Schizosaccharomyces pombe: one gene and its partners. The main gene of each other region encodes a partner of the protein of the gene in region 4 in a complex. Each region holds a gene or a part of one and is shown on either strand. Other genes may lie near its edges.

Region 1 (7,204 bases), on a different chromosome or scaffold from region 4:
TGTACATTATGTAACAGATATGTTTTGTAAATATCCATTAAAACTTATCGCTCCTAAAACAAAACTTGATTTTTCTATTCTGTACATCATGAGCTATGGAGGTGGCCTGGTATCAGGGGATCGTGTAGCGCTGGATATTATAGTTGGAAAAAATGCTACATTGTGCATACAGAGTCAAGGAAATACAAAATTATATAAACAAATACCAGGAAAGCCTGCAACACAGCAAAAGTTGGATGTAGAAGTTGGAACGAATGCATTGTGCTTGTTATTACAAGATCCAGTGCAACCTTTTGGAGATAGTAATTACATTCAGACTCAAAACTTTGTATTAGAAGACGAAACTTCTTCTCTTGCATTACTGGATTGGACATTACATGGTCGAAGCCATATCAATGAACAATGGAGTATGCGATCTTATGTGTCCAAAAATTGTATCCAGATGAAGATTCCAGCTTCAAACCAGAGAAAAACGCTTTTGAGAGATGTGTTAAAAATATTCGATGAGCCTAACCTACATATTGGTTTAAAAGCCGAACGAATGCATCACTTTGAATGTATAGGCAATTTGTATCTTATAGGACCAAAATTTCTTAAAACTAAAGAAGCAGTTTTGAACCAATATAGGAACAAGGAGAAGAGGATATCAAAAACAACGGATTCATCTCAAATGAAGAAGATTATCTGGACTGCTTGTGAAATTCGGTCGGTTACAATAATTAAATTCGCTGCTTACAACACTGAAACTGCACGAAATTTTCTTCTGAAATTATTTTCGGACTACGCAAGCTTTCTAGATCATGAAACTCTTCGCGCTTTTTGGTACTGAACATGTGAACTCGTATTTCTTTAAAAAAAAAAGAAAAACCAATTTAATAGGGTCCATATTTTATAATTATTTGGGATATAATTGAAGCACGCTTTTAATTTTTTTAAATTTCGGTTTTACGAGTAGGATGTTCCAGTAATTGAAATCTTTTACAGAAATCTCGAATCGTTTTTTTTTTCTACTCCCTTAATTCCATCAAAGCTTCTGCGTTTTTTGAAAAATTACTTAATTATGGAATCAGTTATGTTTCGAATACAATAACCTGTTGCCAAAGTCTCGATTTACAAAAACGTGGTTAATACTCGAAGAGGAATATTTGCCTAAAGTGTAAATTGAGAATGTATCCGGTAATTGCTTATTTTTAATCCTTAATTTTTCTGTGGATCAATTGAAAAATATTAATTGCGATTGCCAAATCTTGTTTCAATGTCTTGGTTACTGTACTTATACTTTTATTCCAAGCAAATAAAAGTTTTATGCTATATGGAACGACTCAAAACATGCTTCTCTTGGCTAGGACTTGACGTTCAATTACTAACTGTTATAGAAAATTTACTATTTAGTACACAGTAGATAACTAACTAATTGGATATAGCACTTGAGACATAGATCTCAAAGAGATTGTATCTATTTCATAAAAGAGACCTTTGTCTCTGGTTTAATCTGTTAATGCAGTCACGTTAAGTAAAAGCATTTTTGGAATTGTAATCACAACAAATCCAAGTAACAAAATATCATTGTTTTCGTATGATCATTAGAAGGTTAAGGTTTGCAGTTTTAATATCATAAATGGCATTTAACAATGACTACGATTGTAAATCCAAAGCTTCAGCTAACAGCTGACTTTTAGAATTGTATAATCGTGCAACATCGTCTTTAACTCGAACGATTACCCAGTCTCCAGCAGGCACAGGCTTTTTGTAGTTTATGCTATAACTGGGAGTACGCACATCGAAGTTTTCAGTAGGAATAGGGTCCCGAGGCTGTGTTGATTGTGAATTTGCTTGCGATGATCTAAGATTCCGAACAGTCTCAAGAGACTCGATCAATAAAGTTGCAATGGCGCCCCCATGAGCCAGTTTCTGATATCCTGTCAAAGCCTTACCCATGAGTCCAATGCTGATCCATTCTTCATGTTCGGGGTCATAAAATGTTTTAAATACAGGTATCAATCCATCTTTAAAGGAAAGAAAATTGGAAGGATACTTAGATTGAAGCAAGGACGGATGCTCCTCCATTTTCATGCTGCGTTGACGTTCGCGATAAATGTTATCAATCATTTGAACAGCTTCAGGCGATTTCGAAATTTCAGAAATATGTTTCGCACTTGCTGGTAGTCGATGATATGCTGTATAGGCATCACTGGAAACAACCCAAGAAGCTAGACCGCCTACCATAAATCCCCCAATCCCTGCTAATAACAGCTTATTTTGAAATAATTTAGAGCTCATAATCAAAAATTGAACAAAGTTTCAAACTTTTCGTCACAATGTAATAGGAGCGTTTACTATTAGCGATATTCGGACGTTATAAAACTGATACGCAGATGGAGCATATGTGCAAAGCATAGGGTATCATTAATTTATGCAAGAATATTTATCGTATATTTTAAGAAAATATAATTACTTACATATCCAAAAAGTATTCTATAATAATAACTAATACAGGAATAAACAAATTTCGTAATGCAATTGAAGCAAAGCATTTGGAGAGAAAATGATGATTGTGAATAATTCAATGACATAAATTGTAATAGTACAACATTAATTAATTTATTTCTTTTAAGATTGAATGTAAGAATCGATGCTCTGCCCTACTGTAGGAAATTAATCACTTCGATTACATTCAGCAAAATTCAACTTTGAAAAAAAAAGCAATATCAGAGAATAATCCAGGTACCTAGAAAAACTTTCATCGCCATTGCTGCAGTTTTCTAGTTGGTTTATGAAGAAGCATATACAATAAAAGATCGGAGAACTTTCACCTTTTTTAAAGCATCTGTTTTCAAAAAAGAAAGAAACTTTTATTTTCCCTTTTAATACGACTTCGGTCCAAATTACAGAAGTTGCGAAAACGAAAGTCAAAATTTTTGTAATAAAGATGCATACAGAGGGTATTCTGTATTTTTTGAAACAAAACTCTAATAAATATTAGAGAAAAAGCAGCCGTGGATTTTAGGAAAACTCCATTTCAACGCCTTCAACAGATATCATTTTCAACTCCCATTCACGCATAAAATTAACTTTGATTTCTTCCAGATGAGTAATAAGGGACTTAGCAGCATCAACAATAACCTGCTTTGGAGAACAATCTTCTACGGTTTGTACACGAAGTATGAAATTGTGATTTAATGGATGAGGAACTTTGTAACCAGCAAAAAGAACCCTTTCGTCAGATAGGAGTTGACTTCGAAAAAGCAGTTAGAAAAGAAAAAAAAATTTAGAAGTCTTACTTTGCAAGCATATTAGCCAATGTATGATCCTCTTTTTCAAGAGTAACTACTGCGGCATTAGGTGATTTGCTATCGAGCTCATATGTGACTCTACACTGGTTAATGCAATTCCTTGTAAAATTGTTTATTCCTTACTTGGGGAGTCCCATAAGCTCAATGAGCTCATACCGTTCTGGCTGATTCATTATGCCAACGTTTTCAGCCGACTAGCTGAAGAAGAAGTAAGATGTTGATGCTTACGAGGGTTTTGTCCACGTTCTGTACATTAAGCATCACTATAAATCGTAATGCCATTTAACAAAAGCTTTAACACTTTATTCCACAACTCATCGTATTTCGTTATAAATAACGCGAACGTGAACGGACACTTAATATATATTTATCTGTTGGAAATCGGCTCAAACGAGTAATGAAATGGGAGATGTAACAGTATTTTTTAATAACTGATTTTAATAACTAAAATTTTTAAAGGCATATTTTGAGGCGTTTAATTGTAGATTAACCGTACTTGTTTTCATTGAACTGTGCAGAAAGATAAACAACAAGAAAGCTCATTTAAATGTTGAAAAAAAAATAGTTTTTCGTACTTATTTCATTTTTTAGTTTCATAATGTAATTCGTTTGTTCGTTTTAAACAAATATTTTTATTGTTTACATTCTATGTTTCGCTTTGACTGTTACCTTATACCGTTACCTTTTCTTTTATGACGGAAAACGCGCCAACTTAAACCCTCCATTTACCCAAATCGAGAGTTATTCAAAATGCATCAATCATTATTATGTTTTGGAGCAAGACGCTTGCCAATGACCACAAAGTTGGGTCATCAGTATTACAAGGGTACAAGAACTGGGAAAATGGGTCAAAAAACCAGGCATGGAGGTTTTCTTGTCCAGTGGTCGCGTGTTCGCACGTTTGTGCCTCCTTCTGGTGATTGTGAGGTATGTTGTAAATTAATGAATATTGTTTTATATTAACTTTCAAAGCTTTTGCCTTTTGTTTCTCGTCGAATTCAAGCCACTAAAGGAACTTATCCTGAAGGTGCAAATGGGTTGGATGGAGCTGTGTATTTTGATCTTGCTCATAGCTAGTATGTTTATCAGCCTCATTCTTTATTGTTTTGAAAAATTTTGGTACCCTTTTCAACTGTTGCTTTATTCTATCTGTTAATGATTGGGCATACACTTTGAAAGGAGAAATTTCTACGTTACGATACCTTATGTTGCGTTGACTGTTGTTATTTATTGTTTACGGACACGTATATTTATCGATATTCTGTTGTGACGTTTGCTTCTATTAAATATACTAGTTACATTCTTACTTTTTCTGCCAAAATTGGGGGCAATCTTGAGTACTGCGCATTTATATATTTATTATAGGATTAGTCTTTTTCATCCCATCTATCTTAGAAAAAAAAGGGCTGCTAATACCTAGCAATGCGGTTTAAGCATGGATTTTCTATATCTTGGATATCAGGTATAAAAATGTCGAAAACTTCATGTTTCTTGAAGAAATACAGACTAATATTACTTTGGTGTATCCTTGGCATTGCCTACATTTTATTCTGGACTCATCGGATTAGCAAAGCGTTTGCTTCAGTATCCTCGACTTCGGACTCAACCGTCCATCTTTTTGAGCGCGGAAATACCTTAAATGATAGCAACGACCAAATTTTACTTACATGCAATGATATCAAAAACATTACCCCTGCTAATCAATGTCGGTTTGCAAAGGCTTACTGTAAGGGAGAGGCTAGTGGGTTCTTTGATTACGTTGAATTTTATTTTTGTACCATTAACAGTCTCCGATTCCCAGTGTTATCAATAATTGTGGGATGGCTGATTTTCCTTTTCATAACTATCGGAATTTCTGCTAGTGATTTTTTTAGTACCAATTTGGTTACTATTTCGTGGCTACTTCAATTGCCCGATTCTGTGGTTGGCGTTACTTTTCTTGCTTTAGGCAATGGATCTCCTGATATTCTTAGTACGTTCGCTGCTGTACGTGTCAACAGTGGGGGAATGGCTATTGGGGAACTTTTGGGCTCTGCATTCTTCATCGTAGCCATAGTTGCTGGCAGCGTATGTTTAATAAAGCCATTTAAAATACCTCGGCGTCACTTCCTTCGGGATGTTGCTTTCCTTACCGGTACTATTTTACTTGTTATAATGTTTGTTTTGCATGATGGTTCGTTGAGTATTTGGCAGAGTCTCGTAATGATACTTTATTATCTACTCTACGTTCTTTTCGTCTTTTTCTCTGGTAGCTCTGGTGTTAGCGTGGTAATCACTGATGAGAATTATTTGCCTGTCTCCCTTCCAGTCTACTCACCGGTTTTAAATTCTTTCGATGACTCGGATTCCTATAGTAGCACGGATTCTGAATTATCCGAAGAGGCATTTCTCTTGCCTGCCCAAGCATCTAGAAAGACCCAAAAAATACATTACATTAACGATAATGACCCTTCAAATTCGTATTCCTCATATCAACATTCCCATGTCCATGATTTTATTCACAAAAACAACACTCATTCTAACCGTGTGCTAAGTCAGTCATCGGGCCCCATTGTGCGTCCTTCGTTGCTTGCTGCTCTCGACTTTAGATCTTCGAATGAGGAACAACATCCGGGATTACGCTCACTTGATCCATTGAATATTCAAGACGGTGATCTTACTATGCATCCTATGCATATTCGCCATTCTCAAAGCGATTTTTATCCCAGTGGAATTAACACCCCTGTGAGTGGAATTAATTATCCCAATTTGGGATTTAGCGCCAATAATAGCGTGCAATCCCTTGTTTCTGAAATCTTTCGTCACCCAACTCACACTGACGAAGACTTTCCATTACCCTCGCCATCACTTAGTTCTTTGCTTTTCCCTACTTTGCGAAATTTTGCCAAAAAATCATGGTATGAGAAGTTAATGGACGTCTTAGCTGTTCCATCTGTTTTAATATTTACGTTAGCATTGCCTGTATATCAATGCCCGCGATTGGCAGTTGATCCCATTTATCATATGGATGTATCTAACTGTAATCCATCAAAACCAACATGGTCCCGTAAACTTCGCTTACTACAATGTGTGTTCGTTCCTTTTGCCTTTGTGACCTTTTCCATCACAGGCGGGAATCGTTTATATATTTATGCTGCATCTTCTGTGTTTTCTATTTTGTGCATCACAGCTTTGTATTATTATACGGATGAAGAGAAACCTCCAAAATTTCTGCCGTGGGTAAGCTTCATTGGATTCGTATTAGGTATAATATGGATATCGACTATTGCGAATGAAGTCGTAGGTATTTTACGAGCCCTCGGTGTCATTTTCAACTTGAACGAATCTATACTTGGACTCACTGTTTTCGCTGCTGGTAATAGTTTAAGTGACCTCATTGCGGATATTATGATCGCTCGTTCTGGTTTTCCCGAAATGGCAATGGGTGGTGTATTTGGAGGTCCAACTCTGAATATTTTAATCGGTATTGGCATTTCAAGCTTCTATTCAAGTATCTCCAACCACGGAAATGACAGTGTCATTGAAATACCTCATTCCTTGTCGATTACTGCTTATTTTTTACTTGCTTGTTTGTTGCTGTTGTTGATCTATGTTCCATTAAACAGGTTTCGAGTTAATCGAGTTTTAGGACTTTTACTTTTCATATTATATATTGTTGGGACTTCTACTAACATAGTGGTTGAGCTACTTAAAGACAAATGAGCTGATTTACGTTTATTATTTCTCCTAATGACCAAGACAAGTTTCACTAATTCACTTATGGAAGATCATGCTTAACCCGGAACTTCAAAATTATCCCCTCTTTTTCGTCAATTTTATTTCTTATGTTTGGAATGCATTTTATTTAATTCGTTTATCCATTCTGTCCCAAATTTATTTGAGTTGATTACTTTTGGAGCATTACTACTTTT
Region 2 (9,604 bases), on a different chromosome or scaffold from region 4:
TTGTTGGTTCATGCTCTAGCGACTCATTTTCACTTCCATTAGACGACAACCCTGAAGAAGCATCATCACGGTTGTGATGATGTTGAGAGTTGCCGTTGACAACAGCCTCTCCTCCTTCAGAGCTATCCGACATATTGCCTGCAGTATCTTGATTTACAGGCTCACCAACTTCTTCCTCAGCCTTGAGGAAAGAGATATCATCGGCGGTAAAATTTTGCCATATATGGGAGGCATGAGTTCTTAAAGTAAACCATAAACCAATCGCATATGCCAGTACAAGCATAATCGAACAACAGTAAGTAAATGGAAGGACTCTATTTTTATATAGTGAATCATTTTCTAAAACATAGTGTTTCGTACACTTCTGACAGTTCGCGCCACAAGGCTCACAATCTAACCTAAAAGGACCATAGATTCGAAAAAGCATAGTGGGGGCAAAAGCACCCAAAACAGCAAAAAGAAGCATTGTGCTAGTTGCACCAGCAGACTTTATGTTAAAAAACTGAAATTTCTTTCGAATTGCACCAGCACACATGGAGAGCCCAGGCATCAAAAGTAAACCAGCTAGTATACTGCCAATTACACTTCCTTCAACCAGTCCAGCGTTACCCTTACGCAGAGCAACTGAGTAAAGAAATACCTCAATTACTGAACCAAAAAAGGCATTTATAAAAGCGCCCATTCCCATACTGCTTTGAGCCGAAATTGAAGCCACGGCCATTCCAATAAAATATGCAAGAGGGATAATACTCACCAACGAAGCAGTGAATAAAAATACAGAAGAAGTAAACCAATGACCTTGGGATCCAAAAAAGCCAAAAAAAATGGTTGGGATTATGAGCGCTAGCATATCAAAATAAATTATGTAAATACCATCGATAGTATACTTATAATACTTCCAGCTTGCTGCTTTTTTTACACATAGTAAGACAACATCTGAAGAATCCATCGATAACGGCAAAGCGAGATTTGGACGAAAAGACAAAGATAATGGGCAAGTTCGCAAATGTCGACAAATAGCCCATAAGGTCCTTGCACATGGAACGAAAAAAATAGTAAACATACAAATTGCAGAGGTAATGAGTAGTGTCGGAGCAATAATCAAGTAATACATAAGTGTATAAATGATACTGGAAGCGTTTCTTCGATGTGGGGTAGTATTGCAATCTAACGATTGGTTCATTGGATTAACACAGAAAGAAAACGAAAGGAAGTTTAAGCGGGCCGGATCCGGGTGATGTGAAGTAGGAGTTTCATCATAATGGGAATGTTGAGTCTGATAAATTGGATGAGCAGGAGAGCGTACTGATAGACGCTTGACTTTATGTCGAACATGTTGACCAAAGGGATAGAGGAGATAAAACATAAGGCCTCGACAAAGCTTAGAGTAAACGATCGCGTCAGGCACATTAAAAAATGAAAGGACTGTAAAAAATATATAACATATAAAGATCACTAGAAAAAGAGGAGCCCCGAAACAAATCAGCCATATGACATTAGAGATGGAGGTGTTGGGGCGTTTCAGAGGTTCATCGTGAATATCAATGTCAGCATCACGGTTTATGGATCGGAACTTTTTATATAATGCGGGTTTCCATAGCCGCATCCCGAATGCACGAGTCTTGTTAATAGCGTTTTGCCTTTCTTTCAAAGTAAAGGATTCTTCAGATCTGAGAGAGGCGGGAGACTGACCTCTTAAGGGAGACAGAGGACGTACCTTAAAGTTCTGCTTAGGAATATCTCTTTGTTGCCGAACATTACTAGAACTACGACTTAAACGAGATACCGAATTTCTGGGATGCTGACGAGCATTTGAAATAGTTGAAGTTGATGGATCAGTCCGAGAGGAAACTTTCCGAGTATACTGATCAATTTCTCTAGGAGAATATATGTCACGATCATTGGTAGATTGGGATAATGAATCCGTTGCATCAGCGTCGCCCACAGTTGGCATTAAGAAATCGCCGAATCGCAGATTCTGTTCATAAACTGAAGAAGAAGGAGTTTCTTCTGGTCTATCAGCCCGTCGACCCTGGGTAATGGTTTCCGCAGAGCTCTCAGATTGATTTATATCAGCAGGTTGAGACATTGTAGGCGGTAGTAATTGTCACAATGATTACTTTTCCGAATCAAACCCTCGCCAAATATTCTATCCCTTAAAACACCTGTACGTAGCTAAGAGGATTGAGTAAATAGGTATTTATAAAAAATTGTTGAAGGAATAGTGAGAAAGGAAGGCATGATTGGAAAGGTTGCGATCATTTTCTATTACGCATATCATAATCAGAATACCAAATTGAAAAAAAGAACGCCAATTCTACAATATCGAAGTCCTCCCATTAGTTCGTTAATGAGCATACAATGTTTACTTCGTTAAAGATTGTCGGGATGAATTGAGCTTAATCAGAGCCGAGCATCGTTGTACAGTTTACTAAATGTAGAGCTAAGCGATAATACGCTAACTTACGGTATCGGTTTTTGTAAGAATACACCGAATTTCGTTAAGTACAAAGTATTAGTAGTAGTATGAAACAAAAATAACAGTCACAGCCAAACCCAAACAATTTCAGTTACTGTGTTATATACTAGTTCATCGTAACCACAGCAAATCTCTTTCTGCAAAAGGATCAGGATGGGTATTACGAGAGATTCCCGCCACAAGCGCTCTGCTACCGGTGCTAAGCGTGCTCAATACCGTAAGAAGAGAAAATTCGAGTTGGGTCGTCAACCTTCCAACACTCGTATTGGACCTAAGCGTATCCATGAGGTTCGTGTTCGTGGTGGAAACAAGAAGTTCCGTGCTCTTCGTCTTGACTCTGGTAACTTCTCTTGGGGCTCTGAAGGTGTTTCCAAGAAGACTCGTATCATTCAAGTCGCCTACCACCCTTCTAACAACGAGTTGGTTCGTACCAACACTTTGACCAAGTCGGCCATCGTCCAAATTGATGCCGCTCCTTTCCGTGTTTGGTATGAAACTCACTACGGTATTTTGATGGGAAGCAAGGGTAAGAAGGCCACTGCTACACCTACTCCCAAATCCAAGCATGTTCAACGTAAGCATAGCGCTCGTCTTGGCGATTCTAAGGTTGATTCCGCTTTGGAAACTCAGTTTGCTGCTGGCCGTTTGTATGCTGTAGTTTCCTCTCGCCCTGGTCAATCTGGTCGTTGCGACGGCTACATCCTTGAAGGTGAAGAGTTACATTTCTACCTTCGTCGTATGGCTCCTAAGAAATAAGGTTGTTTCTTCAATAAATTAGTTCATAAAGGAAGGAATAAAAGGATTCCGAGATTGTTGTATTTCACCTGTATTGTTGATTATTATCAGTAACCAAGGTCGTTAATTATGTAGAGAAGGTAATTTTTATTATTGGCATTTAGAAAAGTGTCTGCTAAATGTTTAGTAATCTCTCCATTTGTCCCAATCAGTAATTGAAATTCGTTTATGTGCTATTAGATATGATTTCTTTACTAAATCTCATTGAACTACGTTTAGTGAAGCCTTTACCTTTTTAATAAAAATTCACGCTAAGTAGCCTTTTACACATAATGAAAGAGTTGCGAATTGCTTTGAAAGGAAAATGGCCTTTCACGTACCTTAGCTATATTGAATGATTAAAACAAGTAAAAGATATAAAAAAACTGGTTCTTTTTTTGATGCTTAAAGACTTTTTTACTGAACACAAAGTCGAATTGCCACTACGGTACGATATCCTTGTTACGGTAGCCTCAACATTTATTCCTCTTCCTCACCGCCAACATATCCTGTTGCGTGTGCCATTTCAACAACAATGTCTTATGAGGATTGTAAGTTACTAATAAAGTCATTTTTAACACCATAATAGATCAATACAATGAGACATTGACTCAGGAGGATTGTTGGACCGTGATCTCGTCGTTTTTTGAGGAAACGTCGTTAGCTCGGCAACAATTGTTCTCTTTCGATGAGTTTGTTCAAAATACTATGCAAGAAATTGTTGATGATGATTCCACTTTAACTCTAGATCAATATGCACAACACACGGGTGCTCAAGGAGATGTTACACGTCGATACGAAATAAATTTTGGACAGATTTATCTTTCAAGGCCTACAATGACTGAAGCTGATGGTAGTACAACTACTATGTTTCCTCAAGAGGCGAGGCTTCGTAACTTGACTTACTCGTCTCCTTTATACGTTGACATGCGTAAAAAAGTTATGGTTGCTGCCGATTCTAATGTTCCCATCGGCGAAGAGGAGTGGCTTGTTGAAGAAGAGGATGAAGAACCCTCAAAAGTTTTTATTGGAAAGATACCAATCATGCTCCGTTCTACTTTTTGCATTTTAAATGGTGTTAGTGATTCTGAATTGTACGATTTGAATGAGTGCCCTTATGATCAGGGAGGATACTTTATTATCAATGGCTCTGAAAAGGTAATCATTGCTCAAGAGAGATCTGCTGCCAATATTGTACAAGTATTTAAAAAAGCCGCTCCGAGCCCCATCGCTTACGTTGCTGAAATTCGCTCTGCTTTGGAACGAGGTAGTAGGCTTATTTCTTCTATGCAGATTAAGTTAATGGCACGTAATACTGAGAATTCTGGTCAGACAATTAGAGCAACACTTCCATATATCAGGAGTGACATTCCTATCGTCATCGTGTTCCGTGCTCTTGGAGTTGTACCTGATCGTGATATTTTGGAACATATATGCTACGACCCAAATGATTTCCAAATGCTTGAAATGATGAAGCCCTGTATCGAAGAAGCATTTGTGATTCAAGATAAAGATATAGCTTTGGATTACATTGGTAAAAGAGGCAGTACTACTGGTGTTACGCGTGAAAAACGTCTTCGATATGCCCATGACATTTTACAGAAAGAGCTGCTTCCGCATATTACTACAATGGAAGGTTTTGAGACTAGAAAGGCGTTTTTCTTAGGTTACATGATCCATCGTATGCTTTTGTGTGCGTTAGAGCGTCGTGAACCAGATGATCGAGATCATTTCGGGAAAAAGCGTCTTGACCTTGCAGGTCCATTACTTGCATCTCTGTTCCGTATGCTCTTTCGTAAAATGACTCGCGATGTGTATAAGTATATGCAGAAATGCGTTGAAACAAATCGTGAATTCAACCTTACCCTGGCTGTGAAGTCAAACATTATTACCAATGGTTTACGTTATTCATTGGCTACTGGTAATTGGGGAGACCAAAAACGCAGTATGGTTAATCGGGTTGGTGTATCACAAGTTCTTAACCGATATACATTCGCTTCAACTTTATCACATTTAAGACGTACAAATACTCCTATCGGTAGAGACGGAAAATTGGCTAAACCCCGTCAGTTGCACAACACACACTGGGGTATGGTTTGCCCTGCTGAAACACCAGAAGGACAAGCTTGCGGCTTAGTCAAAAATTTGTCTCTAATGAGCTATGTTTCCGTAGGTTCACCCAGTGCTCCAATTATCGAGTTTTTAGAAGAATGGGGTTTAGAAACACTGGAAGATTACAACCCTTCAGCGTCTCCTAATGCAACAAAGGTCTTCGTGAATGGTGTGTGGTTAGGAGTACATCGTGATCCAGCTCATTTAACAGAGACGCTACGCAGCCTTCGTCGTAGATTGGACATATCTGCAGAGGTTAGTATCGTTCGCGATATCCGTGAAAAAGAGCTTCGTCTCTTTACAGATGCAGGTCGTATTTGTAGACCATTATTTATTGTGGATAACAATCCTAATAGTGAAAGAAGAGGAGAGTTATGTATTCGTAAAGAGCATATCCAACAACTAATAGAGGATAAAGACAGATATGACATTGACCCCGAACAACGCTTTGGATGGACCGCTTTAGTATCTAGTGGTCTCATTGAGTATCTAGATGCAGAAGAAGAGGAGACGGTTATGATAGCAATGAGTCCGGAAGATCTTGAAGCATCACGTCAAATGCAAGCTGGGTATGAAGTTAAGGAAGAACTGGATCCTGCACAAAGAGTTAAGCCAGCTCCTAATCCTCATGTGCATGCTTGGACCCATTGTGAAATACATCCTGCGATGATTCTTGGCATCCTTGCTAGTATTATCCCTTTTCCTGATCATAATCAATCACCTCGTAATACTTATCAATCTGCAATGGGTAAACAGGCTATGGGAGTTTATCTTACAAACTACCAAGTACGAATGGATACCATGGCAAATATCCTATACTATCCACAGAAGCCGTTGGCGACTACTCGATCGATGGAGTACCTAAAGTTCCGTGAACTTCCTGCTGGCCAGAATGCTATTGTCGCCATTCTATGTTATAGTGGCTATAACCAAGAAGACTCCATTATTATGAATCAAGCTAGTATTGATCGAGGATTATTCCGCAGTATTTTCTACAGAACGTACACGGACCAAGAAAAGAAAATTGGCATGACTGTTATGGAGGAGTTTGAACGGCCGGTCCGGTCTACAACCCTAAGGATGAAACACGGTACGTACGACAAGCTTGAGGATGATGGTTTAATTGCTCCTGGCACTCGAGTGTCAGGCGAAGATATTATTATTGGTAAAACAGCTCCAATTCCCCTAGATCATGAAGAATTAGGTCAACGTACTCAGTTACATGCAAAGCGTGACGTTTCCACTCCTTTGAGAAGCACTGAAAGCGGTATTGTTGACCAAGTAATGGTCACCACTAACCAAGAAGGCTTAAAATTTGTTAAAGTTAGAATGCGAAGTACTCGTATACCCCAAATTGGTGACAAATTCGCGTCAAGGCATGGTCAAAAAGGTACCATTGGAATGACATATCGTCATGAAGATATGCCATTTTCTGCACAAGGAATTGTTCCTGATATCATCATTAATCCACACGCCATTCCGTCTCGTATGACAGTTGCTCATTTAGTCGAATGTCAACTTAGCAAGGTTTCTGCTTTATCTGGTTTTGAAGGTGATGCCACACCTTTTACAGACGTTACGGTTGAAGCGGTTTCTAAGCTGTTACGTTCACATGGCTTTCAGTCGAGAGGATTTGAAGTTATGTACCATGGTCATACTGGTAGGAAGCTTGTTGCCCAAGTTTTTCTTGGTCCCACATACTATCAGCGTCTAAAGCATTTGGTGGACGATAAAATTCACGCTCGTGCTAGAGGACCTGTGCAAATTTTGACTCGTCAACCCGTTGAAGGCAGATCTAGAGATGGTGGCCTTCGTTTTGGAGAAATGGAACGTGATTGCCAAATTTCTCATGGTTGTAGTAGTGTATTACGAGAACGTTTGTTTGATTGTTCTGATGCGTACCGAGTTATAGTATGCGATATTTGTGGTTTGATAGCGATCGCCAGTTACAAAAAAGACTCATATGAATGCCGATCATGTCAAAATCGTACTCGGTTTAGTCAAGTTTATTTACCGTATGCTGCCAAGCTTTTATTCCAAGAATTGATGTCGATGAATATTGCACCGCGGTTATTTACTAAAAACCATAAGTAGTTTTGCTTATTTGAATAAATTAATACATAAACATAGCATGAACATACAGAAGGATGATCGGTGTGATCTTAAAGAAGCTATCATTTATTTACATAAGCTACTTAAATTGTGTTCTAACAGATATATATATTATTTATATAATAATAATGTAGTTGTTACCTAATTTCGGCTTCAATTTAAAGTTCAATTTCCTTAATAATTGTAACAAAATTGTTTATAAAAACACTGGCTTCTCTTTTGGAAAATATAGACGATTGGCAGAAAAGACCAATTTCGAGGTAACCATCTCGAATTGCCAACTCAAAATCTAACTTGGGTTTGTTTCCAAACAAAATTTCACAACCATCAATGGTGGTTTCAACTTCGTTAATCTTTAGTTCCGCATTGTTGAGTTTCAACGGGTATACGCTGAAAACTTTACTTGGTTCATTGTTATCACCAGTTGACAAGAAATTTACTGCGATATCCATCATGCCATGAACAGGGAGATCCAGCAAAGATATGTATTGTAGGTTTCCCGAAATCTCATTCAAAAAAGACTGAATTTCGAGAGCTATTTCACCTAAAGGTCTGAAAGTATCTGTAACTCTTAAAGGAACCACATTGAATGTTGGAAATAGCAGTTCGTCAATGTTGTCAACGTCTAGTGTTCTTCCAGAAACATAGATTCCAAAAACCACGTCTTCCTGTTTGACTTCGTTTGCTAGAAGGCGAGCAAAAACTGCGAACGATACGCTTTGTACTGTCAAACCACGCGAGCGTACACTTGAATAAACTGTATCTAGAGAAAATAATTTGGGAAAGAATAGTGTTATTTCTTGAGAGGCAGAAGGTTTCTCCAAAAACGTATACGGTTTATAATTCGTTAAATAATTGTTCCAGAATTTTTTACGAGATAAGCCAACAGCAGGATCAAGAACTGTTGAAAGGAATAGTTGCGAGTTTTGTTGCACAATAGTTAAGCTATCATCGTAGTACATCTTAGATAAATAGTTGATCATGATATCGAGGCTCCATCCATCGTATAATGCATGATGTATTGTTAGACAAAAAACAAATTTTCCGCTAGTTTCGATAGTCGCTATACGAAGAGGGACTTCTTGTAAAGTAGTGTTAGTAACTAATTCTCTTTTCTGAATCTTCAAGCAAGTATCGTGCAAGTTGTCAGTTATGTAATGTTCCCAGGGACATTCAAAAGACTTAAGGACTATTTGCAGCAAAGGATAACATGGACTCGAAGATCTTATGAAGGTGGTACGCAGAATATCAGATGATTTGACTAACTTCGCCCAAGCCAGTTTCAATTTTAATAGCTCAATCTTTTCTTCAGTAGTGTAGAAAAAAGTATGAAAATACTTCTTCTTCTCCGTATTGTACCACGCATTTAATGCATACATTTGTCCGGCAGAACAAGGTAATATTTTTTGAACTAAATTAATCGGAATATTTGATGGAAGTGTATTTAAGTATTCATCAAGTTGAAAACTAGCAATATCAAATGAAGAAGATGATTCTTTCTTTTCATATTGCAAATAGTGAGCTAGTTTTTCTATTGAGGAATGTTGCAAAATATCTGAAACACTAACGTTGAGTCCCTTGTTTCGTAAATAAGAACATAAATGAATCGAGCGAATAGAATCCATTCCTAACTGGAAAAAGTTATTGGAAATATCTACAGAATCCTGTGGTAAACAGATAATTTTCGAAAACCCTTCGAGAAGAATTTTTTCAGTCTCATTTAAATGAATTTCATGTACCGCCGACAAAATTTTCAAATTATCAGCGGAAATGGAATTATAGATATTCAGAAGCTTTCCCTCATTTTCGGAGTGATCAAGGGATCTCGGAAGATAAGAAACTGGAACCAAAATATCTGGGACCATTGCTGAAGATAAGGTGAGACGAAATTTCTTGATATAACTTTTGAGCATTCGAATAATTTCTTCATTGAGAACCAAATAAGGAAACTTTGCGTCAGGCTCAGGGAAAAGGATAAAAACAACTAACACACGCTCATCGATGATTAAGAGATCGCAGTCTGATATAGCTTCTTCAGTAAGCAGTAGATTCTCTCGAAAGTCTTTCAAATTGATCTGATATTGCCGGTACTTAACAAAGTTGGAAAAGTTAAAAGTCAGTTTTTCA
Region 3 (7,150 bases), on a different chromosome or scaffold from region 4:
AAAACGCTAGACAATGAAAAAAAGTGATCTCATATACGTTTTAGATATTGCGAAACAGCTAAAAATGGTATTTGAACTATATAGCAATTACGGTATTAATTATTTACAGAATAATGTAATTAAATTATTGTGGAATTTTTATTTTTTGAAGTTTCTCAAATGGCAAGCTTACGACTTAATAAATTCACTCGACAACGCCAAGCTAGAGTATTTTAAGGAATTTGATTTATTTACAAAGCCAAGATAAACGTTTTGAGACAACTTATTTTGACAACGTTTCTTCGGATCAAGGGAAACTTTCAAAAATGAAGTATTTTGCAACTGAAGTATAAATATACATGGGGAGTAGTAAGTAATTGCTATCCGATTTTTAACAGCTTATATAAAACGAGCTCATTTCAACCGAATCTAGCTTCTCGATGGTAGATAAAATGAACATTATGTATTATGCGAGGGAAACAACAAAACCAATGAAAAATGCAAGACGATATAGATAAAGGAGAAGATAAAGACCAAATGTGATTTAAATAGAAAAAGTGAGGTCGAAGCAAATGGTCAATTTAAAAACTCAGCGAAAGAAATGATTTGGTCCAATTTTTGTGAACCATTGAACATTGCCCCAAATGCTGACGAAGTGTAGACATCCACTCATCTTTTTCGCCGACGGTTTCAGCGTAAAAATCGATGTAGTCCCCATTACTGAAAATGATACGGAAACCCGATTCGAAATACAGATACCCTTCTAGTTCTTCTTCATCACTATAATGGTTGTCATCCACGATATGTGTGGCTTCAGACAAATCAATCGTTGCTCTGCGAACTTTAGAGAATTGTTGAAAAGCTACTAACTTTGATCCTATTAATTGAAAATAGCGACGACGCCAATAAGGGCAATCCCCACCTTGTTGACATAGATAACCATCACACAATAAAGTTCTATCCCATTCAGCAAGCTTTAAGTCATACATGGCAGACTCGATTGAAGCGGGAAGTTCTTTCAGAGAGACAGGAAGCGCTGGTAAGAAAAATACGTGGATTTCGAGTTCTCCTACTTTTCGAGGGAGAGGCTTGACATCTTTAGCTGCCGGATCAACAGTCCATTTGTTCATGATTGGTAGAACCATAGATTGACAACGGCCTAGTGCGGTTCGGCTTACAGAATCAGTGTTAATGGTAACTTCGCCGAAAGTTCCATCTTCAGAAACAAATCCATGAAGTGCTTCTGAAACGGGGTCGGTAGTCATAGACTTTCTCTTATTTGTTGAAAATACTTTTCCAAGTGTAGAACGAGTGCGAACCTTAGGTGGATCGTAAGCCGCACGGAGCGTACATACAATTGAAGAACTAATACTTTCATCAAAAGTATACTCATTTTCAATTTTAGTAGTAGAGTGTAAGGCGTTCCATGGTACTTGAATGTGCTTACCAGAGATTGTATAAGTGAACCTAGTGGTCATCCCCGATGCCAAAGGAATAGTTAAGTTTCTGATTTCCATAAGACGGACAAACAATCTTCCACTCCCGCCGGTTTGTTGCAAACTACTGGACAAATTTCGCGATAACGATTCTGGCATATAACAAGAATTGACAACGCGCCGCGAAGTTTGCATTTCTTGTTTCTGACTAGTGGCATGTACAACTTTAGAATTCTGTCGTAGCAAATATGTCCTAGTCAAAGCGTCAAAGGCTGAAAGAACATTTGTAAAGCGAGGATCTGGTAAAGAAACCACTTTTGGAAGAAGCGGTATCGGAGCATTTTCGTCAAGAACATGAGGGGAATCTAAAGAGGTGATGGAGCTCGTAAGTGGCTCTTCGTATTCATGAATAGAATCTGAACGGTAGATATCAGTCCTACAATTCTCTCGGTTCTCATCTGCGAATGATAAGCGAGGAGGTGTCTTTATATCTTGGAACGAGGACGAATCTTCAGAGAAACCAAAAGATGCAATACTGTTTATACCTTCGCCAAGACCAACCATGTCACTAACACTGCTAACTATACTGTTCGTAAAACTAGTGTCAGATGAATTATGAGAGTGAGTAGGTAACTCAAGTTTGACAGGTGGTGAAATTGAAACTTCTTCAAATTCAGCTGGCAATGTGTCCTCGTTAAAAAGCTTTGAATTACAAACGGAACGAGCAGGATTTTTTTTAGGAATTGGTATGTCGCCATGGCCCTGGTTAGATGAATTACTCTTTATCGAGTTGCGTGGAGTCGAGCTACGACTGCTTTTATTTGAAGCCTCATCATCAGATAATTTGATCAAACATGAATCGTTCAATGACAGTATGTTCTCTTTGTTTACGTCTTCAACACTTGTACTACTACTATCCGTTTCATTCATGACAGAGTAAGTTGGGGTCCTACGAACTTCTGTAGAAAAAGGAAGAAGAGACTGATGATCATCAAAACTGGAAGAATTTGATAACGTTTGATCATAAGGGAAACTATCGCCATCTTCAGCATCCTCAGATTCAGCAAAAGAAGGGGCCGTAGACGAGATGTTACTGCGATTAAAATTTCTCATTGTACTTTCTCGAGATATCGATGCGATTGTAGAGGCATAGTCAGAACATTCGTAATCAGTACTTGGGATGGGAGAAGGAATTCTCAATGCTCTATGGATGTCAGCTAAATACATTTTAGCATGCTGATCCTGTTGAGAAGCAGTCATCAACATTATGGAAAGCCTTGGAATTTAACAGCTCTGCTGAAATTAGAATATAAAAAAAAATAAAGGCACAAAGAATTAAGGGTTTTTATTTAATTGGTATTCGGATTACAAGGCTATTCCGTATGGATTATTGTATACAAATAACTGAAACAGTTTCAGTATATTCCAGAAGGTACACCGAATGTGAAATAAAGAAATTCAAGTGTTTTGGTAGGCGCGTTGCTTAATATAAAGGAAGGAGGCGAGCATATGATTGAGAGGCTGGTAAATCCATTTTCGGCAAAGGTGGCTGGTATCACTCGAAAATCCAGTTTTCCAGCACAGAAGCGAGAGAGTGGTTACATCAAGCGGATCATTTAAACCGAAGTCTAAGAGCCATTGGTGGACGCAGCTAGTTTTACAATCCCTTGTTAGACCGAATTGTCGCATATTACTGTTCTTCAAAAGCAAATCCACAATGTACGCAAACATAAATCAGAGTCTAATTAAGTCAGTAAAATTGTTTTTAAACCTAAATATTAAAATTGTTTTCTCAATGAAACAATGCGAAACACACCATCATAGTATCACCCCGACGAGAATGAGTCTGATAAAAAACTGCTTCATGTTGATGACAACGCGGGCATTCTTTGTCTGATCTAGGTAAAGTAGGGTCCGTTGAAGCGTCGTGACTGACCGTCGTGTTTTCTCTACAAATTTAGTGATTATTCGAAGGATGAAATCTAACTTACACATTGGAGCTTTGTAACTCATGGCGATAAACTTTACTAGTAGCAGCGATCTATACAAATTAGCTGATGAGATATTTAAAACTTCCAAATGATGAGGAAAAAAGTAATCGAAAAGAACTTCGAATTTTTTTCTTGAAGTGAATAAACCCAGTAGGAGAAAAAAACAAGCTTACCTCTGAGTAATCACAATTACGACAAGCTAGCCTCAGAACACGATCCACTTTATCCTCTCTAGGGTACCTATTTATTTCATGTTAGTGTTTTCAAACAATTTTCAGTGTCATCTTTTTGAGAAACTAATCCGTACAGCATATTATTGCATTCTATACAATATTGAAAATTTGACATTTTAAAAAAGCAAACAAAAGTATTTTACTTCAACGCAATAAACTTTCAAAAGAACGTGGTGGTTAGTGGATATGGAAAATACAGTGGACAACAGCGTCCTGATGGTTCACATCTATAAGTTCGAAAAAGCTTTTGTTTATCTACAACGTCTCTACAAGATTTCGTTAAAAACTGTGTAGCTGCTTTAAAATTTATTTGCGATATACTTAATATTACTAATTATATAGAAGATATATTGACTTTAACGTGTAGCATTATTCAAACATGGACTAGTCCTACAAACTTGTAACATCATACTTCAGTATCTTACATTATGCACATCAGCGAGTAAAACGGTAATTTACAGTATGAGTTTGATTTTGGAATTAACGATCCCTTAGCATATGCTTTAGTCGAATTTATTTTCGCTTTAAAAGAAGACTACAAAAATAGTTAAACATTTTTAAGCATAACTTTAAAAAATGTCGGGGTTTTGTGTTCTTGGTTGTGGTACAATGGGAAAAGCACTTTTGACTGGAATCTTTGATTCCATTGCTGAAAATGGAAACGATGTTTCTGACGAAATTATCATTCCGAATAAGTTCTATGCTTGTGTCAAATTTCCTAAAGAAAAAGAGGATGTTCAAAAGCTTTTCGGAGATCGTGTTAAAGTTGTAATGGGGGCCAAAGAGAATGCCGAGATGGCTGCGATTAGTAACGTTTTGTTGTTGAGTTGTAAGCCTCAGGCCGCAGAGGATGTTTTGAATTCCCCAAAGATGAAAGAAGCGCTCAAAGGAAAATTAATTTTGTCAATTTTGGCTGGCAAGACCATCTCTTCATTGCAAAGTATGCTTGATGAAAGTACTAGGGTGATTCGCATTATGCCCAATACTGCTAGTCGAATCCGTGAAAGTATGAGCGTAATTTGCCCGGGACCCAACGCAACTGAAGAAGACATAAAGTTTGCTGAATGGGTATTCAATGGCATTGGACGTTCAATGAAACTTCCCGAAAAGCTTATTGATGCTGCTACCGCTGTATGTGGAAGTGGACCTGCTTTTGTTGCTACTATGATTGAGGCTATGACAGATGGTGGTGTAATGATGGGTATTCCGTTCCCTCAGGCTCAGGAATTGGCTGCCCAAACTATGGTTGGTACAGGTCGTATGGTTTTACAAGGTCAACATCCTGCTATGATTCGTAATGATGTTTCAACTCCTGCCGGATGTACAATTAGTGGTTTGTTGGCATTGGAAGATGGAAAAATTCGAAGCACAATCGCACGTGGTATAGAACAAGCAACCAAGACTGCTTCTGGCCTGGGTAAATGATACTAGCAAATTCATTTTGTGCTATTAAATATCCTGGTTCCAAACATGGATTTGTATATAAAATTCTTGGGTTAGTACTTCTGTTTCCTCTTTAAAGCTAGTTTCGTTATCTAGTTGTATTAAAGCGTTGTGACTTAGTTTCATTCAATGATTCCTCTGTTTAAGCTTGCAATTCTGTTACATTACTAATAATATGCGTATTCGAACAGCGAGATTATATTTCATTAACTTTTTAGAACGTTGTATGCAATTAAACCCATTTCATTGCGATTGCTATCGTAGTGAATTTAGCTAAAGGTATTCAATATTGAAGAAACGTACTATGTTTTGATTATTTTAACATTGTCATAGTCGTACCGATGTAAACAAAATCACCACCATAAACAGCTCCCGTATTTTAAATTTTTATCCTTAATTCGACTCTACTTTTTTTTATTAAAAATACTTAATTGTACAGGTATCGAATCTTAAAATTCAACCTGCTTAAGGAGGACCAAGGAAATTTGCAAGTTGTTCTTCGCCATCCGAACGTATTCGAATATGAAAGTATACATTAATGTGTATGATCTAATGCCAGACAGTCCGGTAAACAAACTAGCATGGACTCTTGGACTTGGTATTTACCATACAGGATTGGTTTTAGAAGGTAAAGAATATGCGTTCGGAGCACACGAAATTCCTGGCTCCACCGGTGTGTTTGCTACCATGCCAAGACCGCCTTTAGAAGGGTGTAGATGGCGCTGTTCTATTGCTTTACCTAATTGTACCCTCCCTAAACCCGACGTGGATAGAATTTTGATTCGTTTGAGTCAAGAATTTACGGGGTTATCATATTCTTTATTAGAGAGAAATTGCAATCATTTCACGAATGCTGCAGCAATTGAACTTACGGGCAGCCCTATCCCTTCTTTTTTAAATCGAATTTCTCGAATTGGATTGGCGTTTCCTACGATCACGAATGCCTTATTACAGCACGGTCAAAAAAATACATCCGACGTTGATGATTCCTCGGATTCTTCTTCAGATGTAGATGAAGAAACTTTAATCGTATCAAAAAGTAAAAAAGCTCATAAAGATATTCCTAAATTTTCCGCACCTCCTCCTTCTGCTGACCTCAATAACCTCATCACTGATTCACTTCCTTAAGTCGCATGCTGTTAGTCAGCCTTTTAACCTACGAAATACAACACACACATCCAAAATTGTAGATTTTATTTATGCCTTGTTCTATCAATTAAGTGTAAAGTCAATTTGGGACTTTTTTTTAATTACTTGCTTTCTGATATATATCTCTTTATTCATCTTTGTTTGGTATTTTATTGTAGAGTGTTTTTTTATTAGTGATTATAATTAACTCTACAATAATGGCTGAAAATGAATTGAGATTATTAAACAATGCAGAGCTGAAGCTCGCTCTAGCGGAAAGCGAGGACTCCTTTCAATCGCTTGTGTCAGTTTTTTTATGTCCGATTTTACTAAAACTCGATTCGCCTCATGAAAGTGTGAGAAACAAAACAATTTCAATTGCAAACCACATTATGACTAGGCTCAACAATAACGCGCAAGCCATACTACCTCTTGAAGCCTTAGTAAGCCAGTACGTTGAAGCAAATCAACCTTTGCGAAAAAGATTTCTCCTTGCTTTCATATCTATAGGCGAAAAAAGGATACCTTGTTCTGAAAATTTGGCCCTTCTCCAGATTTGTCTAAATCATGTCAATGAATACCCATTAGTATTATTGACATTGACAATTCGTTTACTTCGTTTTTCAAAGCCAACTTCGGCTATTACATGCTCTAACGATGTCATTTTATCTCTTTCTTCATTCTATTTGATTCAGAAAGATCAAAGGATTTTTAGTGACCTGCAATTTTCCCAAAAAACAGTAGATTACCGCTTGAGTCTGCTTCGGTGGATTCATTTATCTAGCTGGCCATCAAATTGGAAGTGGTTGGCTTACTTTTTTGCCTCTGCTGATTCTCATTCTGAAGTTGCCCGACTGGCAGATGAATTTACGCGTGATAGTGGATTACCTGATCTAGAGAATTTGTCCCACGTGAACGTTCTATTAGACATAGCGCTTGA
Region 4 (6,843 bases):
TGAGCTTGCATTTTGCTACAACTGAGTTTAAATTGCTTAACAATATTGCTAATTTTTTCGAACCTGTGAGCATCAGTGGCAGGATTGGACTCAGAAGAATAAGAAGAAATAACCAAAAATGTTGTTCTTTCAAATAATATTACCTCAGCAGCCTCAGCAGCTTTGGCAAATTCCCGGAGATGCGATTCCAAAGTAGGCGTATTAGGAATCAAAGTATAGACAATAGCAGACCATGCTTTGAATAATGTTTCATCCCAAATAGAAGTAGCTAAACAAGTGGTTTCAAGATCCTTACTTGTTTCTAACAAAATTGCCTTACGTTCCTCAAAAACTAAATCACGTAGATCTTCCTGAACTAAATCCATCTTGTGTATTAAACAAAATACACGAGCTTGGGGACTATTGGCCACTGTTGCTTCTAGACAATTACGAAAAGTTACTAAATCTCTTTCAAATTCTCTTGACTCAACATCGAAAACATAGATAAGTACTTGAACGTTTCTGAATATGTGATCACGCTGGGCAGATAAATAGTTTTCCATGAACGCCTCCTGTCCACCGCAATCCCATAGGTTCAAAACTAAATTTCCCAAGAACCTTACATGCGAATGTTCAATATCAATTGTAGCACCTAGCCTTCTCGTGTCCTTGGCAACATAATTGCTAAAAACTATGCTTCTCATTGAACTTTTGCCGCTGCCACTGCGGCCCATTAACAGGACTTTTTTTCTCATTTTTTCTAGAATAACAGAACTATCTTGAGATTAAGGGTAAAGCAATTAGTTTATAAAATTCTACAAAACAGCTGTCACTGCAATTGTGAGTGAATTCGTGTTTTTATGCGTTCTTTTTTAAAATCACAAGCAAAGAAAAAGTAAAAAAATAAGAAAGGGAGAAATGTAGGTAAAGGAATGCGAAAAGATTCTATAATATCCCGCAGACAGAAAAGTTTAAGTTGATTAGTGGTACAACGACATGCACTTCAGTCGATTACATCGTAAAGTTACGAAGTCTGTTTTCCTTAACCTACATATTAAAAATCAAATTCAAAGTCAAATTGTGAGAATTAAAATTAAAATAAAAATAAATTTACAAATTTATAAAAAACAAACATATAAATCAAGAACGAATGGTTCATCTCAGAATTAAGCACAGTAAAAATAGAAATAACCCCTTTAAAAGAATGTAACGTATTTTCAAATGAATATAACGAAATTAGTAGAAGAATCCTCATATCTGAGGTTTTTAAGGCGCATTAACGTTTAGCTATACGAAGTCTCTAAAGCAAAGACTTGAGAATAATTTTAATAGAAAGCTCTTTGGTTTTAACGAGAAAATACTCCAAAACCCTGGCGTCGTTAAGCTAGACAAATGATTAAGAAATATCAATAAAATAAATTTTTCTTAGACATCTCCGTACATCTCGGTAAATTCATAATGTTATTAAGAACAATCGTTATTTAGTTTTAAGATAAATATAAAATATCGTTATTATTAGCAGCGGCTATAGAAATGCTGCAATCAAGGACGCGATTTTTAGACACGAAGCAACAGCAAGAAAGCTGGTTGTTGTGCATAAAGAGCATTCTGACATTATTTTTGGGAATACATTTGTATAATAGTTATTGATTTAATTAGATAAAAAGAAAAAACAACATTCTGAAGAGAGTGTTTGCGAGCATCTATTCATAATGCCGAGGGCTATTTTTGAGGAAGATGCTGCACAATTAAAACTTGGTCCAGGTTGGATTTGAATTTTATTCTGTTGCTAATATAAAAAGAGTTTGAGAATGAGGATATGTTGACGGTTTCAGAGGCCAAAATCCTTATTGAAACAGTTCTGGCACAACGAGCACGCGAAACTAATGGTGAGATTCCAATGACTGAGTATGTCTTATTGTATGCATATTCTTTTTTAATTAACTAGGATAGTGTGATGAAAAAAACAGTAGCTTACTTCAATGTTTTTGCTCGGTTTAAAACGGCTGAAGCCACTTATGCATGTGAAAGGTACATAATTTCAAAGAATTGAATAGAATTTTAGAGGAAAATAGCCGTATGCAAATATTTGACTAACCTCATAGAATTCTTGGTAATCGATTCCATAAATTTGAACGTGCACAATTGGGAACACTCTGCTGCGAAGACGCTGAAGAGGCTAGGACCTTGATTCCTAGTCTCGCGAATAAAATTGATGACCAAAATCTTCAAGGCATCTTGGATGAGCTTTCCACTTTGCGTAAATTTCAAGATTAATGCAATAAATAGATCTCAGGCAAGTCTGTTTATTGTCAATTATGAAAACTTAAAAGGTTTCCGGTCTTATAAACTATTAGCTATATCAGGATTTATAATACGACGTTTTTGTCATTATTATTCCATAATTTATGAGGGGTCATAAAACTTTTTTTAACAAAATCTATGTTTTTTTATGCACCATACACTTCTTAATTAGTCTATTAAAAAAATATAATACAAACACTGAATACACGCGAAAAGGAATTTAGATAAAATGTATTAATTAGATTAAGTAAGTTTTAACAAGGATCATACTATTGTGAAGCAAGAAAAACTAAACATTTTGAATCAAATGGGCGTTCTTTGCTTCATAAAGGACTAGCAAGTTGAGTTTGAGGCAGGAAAACTTGAAGTATTTAAAATCGTTTACACATCCAGATAGCCGCTTTGCAACCCATTTGAATGGCATTGGTAAGCAATGCATGAGCTGGAGCTTCCTTTGCGTTCCAACCTTCGACTGCAGTGTTCAAATGCTCTAGCTCGTCATCTCGAAACTCTGCCAAATGGCTACGAATCTCTTTAAATTCTGGAGCTTTATTTTCCAAATGAGCCGTTTCACGTAGTTGGTCGTTATAGTGTCCGCCAATTACCGTTTCTACTGCCTCTGTACAAGCCATAGCTGCTTTGGTTCCAAGCAAAGCAGTTCCTGCTCCCAACGCAAATCCAGCGATGTCCCAGAAAGGACGTAAAAAGGTAGGACGGACTCTATTCTTTAAGACATAATTATCAAATGTTGCGAGATGGTACTTTTCTTGATCCCACATATGCTGAATGGTAGGTGCGACTTTGGGATCGGTAAATTGAAGGATAAAGTGCTGACCTTTGTAAATTTGATTAGCGCCTAATTCACCTGCTTGATCGACACGAATGACGCTGTCCAAAATATTTGAGTCTTTCTCGCTCAGTTCTTTACGGCCCATCGAAATTCTACGGCATGTTATAGAGGAGCGAAGAAAAGGAGAAACCGACTTGGTAGCAATGGGTATTAACTGTCTACGTGACAACATCTTTTGTAATGGTAAAAAGGCCTGAAATTACACAGAGTTATCAATTTTCAAAACGAAATTTTACTAATCAACAATAAACCAATATTTCTAATTCACTAATAGATTGAAATATTCGACGAAAGAGACTATGATGTTGATTGGGTGTGGAGGATTAGAATGTGAAGTTCTCTACCAAACCGAACGTTTTAGGCGGAAATGCTTAGTTGAGTAACACGTTAGGCTTGAGGTGTATTTCATATCAATCTCTGAACAAATCTGCAAAATTCAAGCTAGATGGTTAAGTTAAGAAGGAATTAAATTTAAGTGATTTGATGTTCACTCTATTTTTATGGAATAAAATATTCGATAAACTTGTCGTTTATTCTTTTGCTTGATTAACGCAGTGAATACCAGTTGCTTCAACTTTATTTTTAAGTCAAAATGAAAAATACATACTTAGTTTTTAAACTAAGAGATTCAATAAACAGTGGCGTAATTTCAGGAAAGAAGCAATGTATCATTTTTTTCCTTAGCTAAATGGCTTTGCTACAGTTTCATAGTGTTCGTCAATCTTGACGGATATAGAAGTTCAATAATAAAATGCTTCTTATAAACAATAAAAAAAAAAAACATATTTAAGCTGCAGTTTTAAAGTAAACTCCAATTTCCTATCTTTTTTCCAACCAATTCAACTCAACATTGTATTTTCGCTTAAAAAACTTTAAATTAATTACTAGTTCAACCGAAGGGGAATCCGAAGATATACAAATTTCCAGTATTACTGATATAACAAGTACAAGTAGAGACTCAAAGACACCCCATCACAATTAATTTTTGACTTGCTTAATAATTCAAGAATGTAATTTGGCATTATGGATTAATTTTCTTTGTTATAGAAAAAAAGCTCCAGAACCACACCCACCTCCCCCATCGAAAATTTACAATTTGAAATATGCGAAATCAATCATTTCTTTCCTTTTTCTAATTTAATCTTTTAAACACAAATGAGTACTTATGTTTTTCAGGCCTTCTCTCATTATTTTATAAAATAGCAATATCGTTAAATTCCGTTGTATCAAAGACGTCGTTTGAATGAGCTTGATTCTTTACCCCAAACCAACTTCGTATTTATATCAACCTTTTATAAAAGCATATTTTTCGCTAAACATGGCCATTTTTGAAATCAATAATTCTTTTTTAATTTGTGCTGTATCTATTGCTTTGAACCCTCTGCTATGGAATATTGCTGCACGTTCAGAATACAATCATAAGACTTTGACCAAATTGGCAAATGGCGACTCTAAGAAGGCCTGTTACATGCTAGCAGCTTGTATTTTTGTTGCCGGAATAGTTCGTGACTTAATTTATCAGAATGCTTTAAAACAACAACCTACGCTAGGTATCTTCATGAACCCTCTTGTGCAGGGTATAGCTAAGCTCATTTTTTGTTTTGGCAGCGTCCTTGTCTTATCGAGTATGTATAAGCTAGGACTTGTTGGTACATATCTTGGTGATTACTTTGGATTTCTGCTTCCAGAGCGTGTTTCTGGTTTCCCATTTAATGTCAACGATAACCCAATGTACAACGGTTCTACTCTTTGTTTCCTTTCTACAGCTCTGCGTTATGGAAAAGTTGCTGGCCTCCTTTTAACTTTGGAAGTCTTTTTCGTTTATAGAATAGCTTTGAAATTTGAAGAGTAAGTTGCCAACTGTTTAAATTTTTAAATTTTTCTTTACTCTAACCATTAATAGACCTTTTACTGCTAAAATTTACGCTGCTCGTGATAGCAAGCAAGCTAAAAAATCCGAGTGAAGCAGCTGATTTGAAGTGGCCATAAGTTAAAGCTTCATTAGAGTTTTTTATAAAAAAAAAAAAAAAAGGAACAATTTTAAATGGAATGTTCTGTTCATGACTAGTCCTTACCTTTACTAACGCTCCTCCTTTAACCGATTTTGCCCTATGTACTTTGACGACTTCAACGTCTGTATAATTATGCATAGTTTAACGCTTTTTTTTTCAAATTATTTAAGTGTGTTGATCGCGGTCTCAACACCATGATCCGATATTTTTATATTCATACTTATGTAAAAAATAATCTAATATTTTACACCATGTAAATTAACGTGCTTTCATTCTAAAATCAAATAAAATTCAAAACAAATATATTAGCAAACCAAAAAAACCCCGTTTTGACCAATTTATATGTACAAAATCAAACTCTATAAATCCAATCGTTCAAGAGGAAAAACAGAGTACAATTTCTAATTTATTTTCCAGAACGTTTAATAGATTTGACAATGCGATCAAGTTCTTGACGTTGATCTCCTTTTTCAGCTTTACGCTTTTTGATTTTAAGCTCAGGCTTACCGTCTTGTGTTTGTTCCAATTGATTTGAGCGTCTTTTACGACTTTCGTCCATAATTTTTTCCACCGTTTTAGTACGTTTGAAATGAGGATTTGTTGGATCAAGTGCAAAATTATGGTTAGTATATAGAGCAGCAAAACGTGGGTCACTGACATCAGCTTCGAATCCTTCCTGCAAGCCTTCCAAATTGGAGGCTTTTTTCTTAAGCTTGCGATTCTTCTTAAACTTTTCAGCCTTCAGTATACTCTTCATGTCAAAATGATCGAGCTGCTCAGAATCGTTTTCATCTTCACGAACAAGGTTTTCCAGTTCTTCTTTAGACGCGGCCGTAGGATCTTCAATTTGAGTATGCTTGCCCTTTTTGTTTTTCTTATTGTTACGACTAGCATCCTTGTCCTTAAAGAATGGATCATCAAAACCAAGATCAACGTCGGATCCTTCACCTTCATCGTCTTTTGTTTTCTTAAGCTGTCTCAATTCTTTCCGTCTTTGTTTTCTTTCAGCGGCCTTACGCTTGTATTTTTCAATAGTGGTTTCATCTTTTTCCGAAGAGTTCGCATTGTTATCAACATCAAAACCTGAAGTAAAAGTAACCTCCATCTCACCATTGGCGCCTTCAAGTTTGTCATCATCCTCAAAAGGGTTACTATTCGCTTGGAAGTCATCAGCATCACCACTTAATAACTTTTGGTAACGAGAACGAATAACATCTACATCCTCATCTTCAGATTCACTTGAGGCAATGTAAGCGCTAAAGTCTAAATCTTCAATATCCTGAGAAGTAAAAGCCTTTTTAATTAAATCCTTTCTGTGTGGATCCTCAGCATCCCACGAAAGTTTAACTTTTGAATGTTGCAATGCATCGGTGACAAAATCTCTCGGCTCATATTTTTCGGGCGCTTTAGTACATACTTCGCGAGATTCATCGTCGTCAAATGTAACATCATCTGGAATGAATCTTAAATCGTAAATATTAGCGCTAGTTTCATACTCAGCGCCATCACAAGTTTCGTATATAACCTTTGCCGTTCTTACACTATCACATTCCACTACTGCGTAATAGTAACGAAGCCTTTCTAATTGATACTGGCGTAATTTTACCATATCAAACTCGTTGCCTAAATCCTCCTCTATTAAAGCATCTTCCTCATCTTGATCAGACTCATTGTTATCAAAACCAAATTTTTGAGCCT

What was found.
Region 1: rpb4 (region 4) and rpb11 share a complex: the UniProt entries of both Schizosaccharomyces pombe proteins name them as parts of the RNA polymerase II (Pol II) complex.
Region 2: rpb4 (region 4) and rpb2 share a complex: the UniProt entries of both Schizosaccharomyces pombe proteins name them as parts of the RNA polymerase II (Pol II) complex.
Region 3: rpb4 (region 4) and rpb9 share a complex: the UniProt entries of both Schizosaccharomyces pombe proteins name them as parts of the RNA polymerase II (Pol II) complex.

The regions. Positions count from the first base shown.
Region 1 is NC_003424.3:1,430,215-1,437,418, reverse strand, and holds rpb11 (DNA-directed RNA polymerase II complex subunit Rpb11), read right to left. Parts: upstream 3,494-7,204; 5' UTR 3,467-3,493; coding exon 3,417-3,466; exon of another isoform or gene 3,372-3,416; coding exon 3,282-3,371; exon of another isoform or gene 3,236-3,281; coding exon 3,004-3,235; 3' UTR 2,577-3,003; downstream 1-2,576. Other genes in the region: ure4 (urease accessory protein UreD), read left to right, coding at 1-829; SPOM_SPAC3A12.08 (uncharacterized protein), read right to left, coding at 1,636-2,280; mrpl27 (mitochondrial ribosomal protein subunit L27), read left to right, coding at 4,044-4,220, 4,266-4,370; SPOM_SPAC3A12.06C (sodium/calcium exchanger), read left to right, coding at 4,764-6,995. UniProt on the Schizosaccharomyces pombe protein: DNA-dependent RNA polymerase catalyzes the transcription of DNA into RNA using the four ribonucleoside triphosphates as substrates. Component of RNA polymerase II which synthesizes mRNA precursors and many functional non-coding RNAs.
Region 2 is NC_003424.3:846,888-856,491, forward strand, and holds rpb2 (DNA-directed RNA polymerase II complex subunit Rpb2), read left to right. Parts: upstream 1-3,748; 5' UTR 3,749-3,788; coding exon 3,789-3,804; exon of another isoform or gene 3,805-3,842; coding exon 3,843-7,459; 3' UTR 7,460-7,498; downstream 7,499-9,604. Other genes in the region: sst1 (calcium permease), read right to left, coding at 1-2,089; rps802 (40S ribosomal protein eS8), read left to right, coding at 2,633-3,235; ferrichrome synthetase Sib1, read right to left, coding at 7,636-9,604. UniProt on the Schizosaccharomyces pombe protein: DNA-dependent RNA polymerase catalyzes the transcription of DNA into RNA using the four ribonucleoside triphosphates as substrates. Second largest component of RNA polymerase II which synthesizes mRNA precursors and many functional non-coding RNAs.
Region 3 is NC_003424.3:4,748,579-4,755,728, forward strand, and holds rpb9 (DNA-directed RNA polymerase II complex TFIIS subunit Rpb9), read right to left. Parts: upstream 3,828-7,150; 5' UTR 3,755-3,827; coding exon 3,714-3,754; exon of another isoform or gene 3,647-3,713; coding exon 3,580-3,646; exon of another isoform or gene 3,457-3,579; coding exon 3,407-3,456; exon of another isoform or gene 3,365-3,406; coding exon 3,232-3,364; exon of another isoform or gene 3,157-3,231; coding exon 3,106-3,156; 3' UTR 2,812-3,105; downstream 1-2,811. Other genes in the region: mid2 (septin ring organizing protein), read right to left, coding at 561-2,681; pro3 (delta-1-pyrroline-5-carboxylate reductase), read left to right, coding at 4,216-5,064; sdu1 (PPPDE peptidase family protein), read left to right, coding at 5,605-6,210; proteasome assembly chaperone Ecm29, read left to right, coding at 6,429-7,150. UniProt on the Schizosaccharomyces pombe protein: DNA-dependent RNA polymerase catalyzes the transcription of DNA into RNA using the four ribonucleoside triphosphates as substrates. Component of RNA polymerase II which synthesizes mRNA precursors and many functional non-coding RNAs.
Region 4 is NC_003423.3:1,053,971-1,060,813, forward strand, and holds rpb4 (DNA-directed RNA polymerase II complex subunit Rpb4), read left to right. Parts: upstream 1-1,538; 5' UTR 1,539-1,691; coding exon 1,692-1,743; intron 1,744-1,781; coding exon 1,782-1,887; intron 1,888-1,932; coding exon 1,933-2,010; intron 2,011-2,084; coding exon 2,085-2,256; 3' UTR 2,257-2,532; downstream 2,533-6,843. Other genes in the region: Gtr1/RagA G protein Gtr1, read right to left, coding at 1-734; ubiquinone biosynthesis protein Coq7, read right to left, coding at 2,655-3,305; cho1 (putative phosphatidyl-N-methylethanolamine N-methyltransferase), read left to right, coding at 4,452-4,981, 5,037-5,097; pre-rRNA processing protein Esf1, read right to left, coding at 5,552-6,843. UniProt on the Schizosaccharomyces pombe protein: DNA-dependent RNA polymerase catalyzes the transcription of DNA into RNA using the four ribonucleoside triphosphates as substrates. Component of RNA polymerase II which synthesizes mRNA precursors and many functional non-coding RNAs.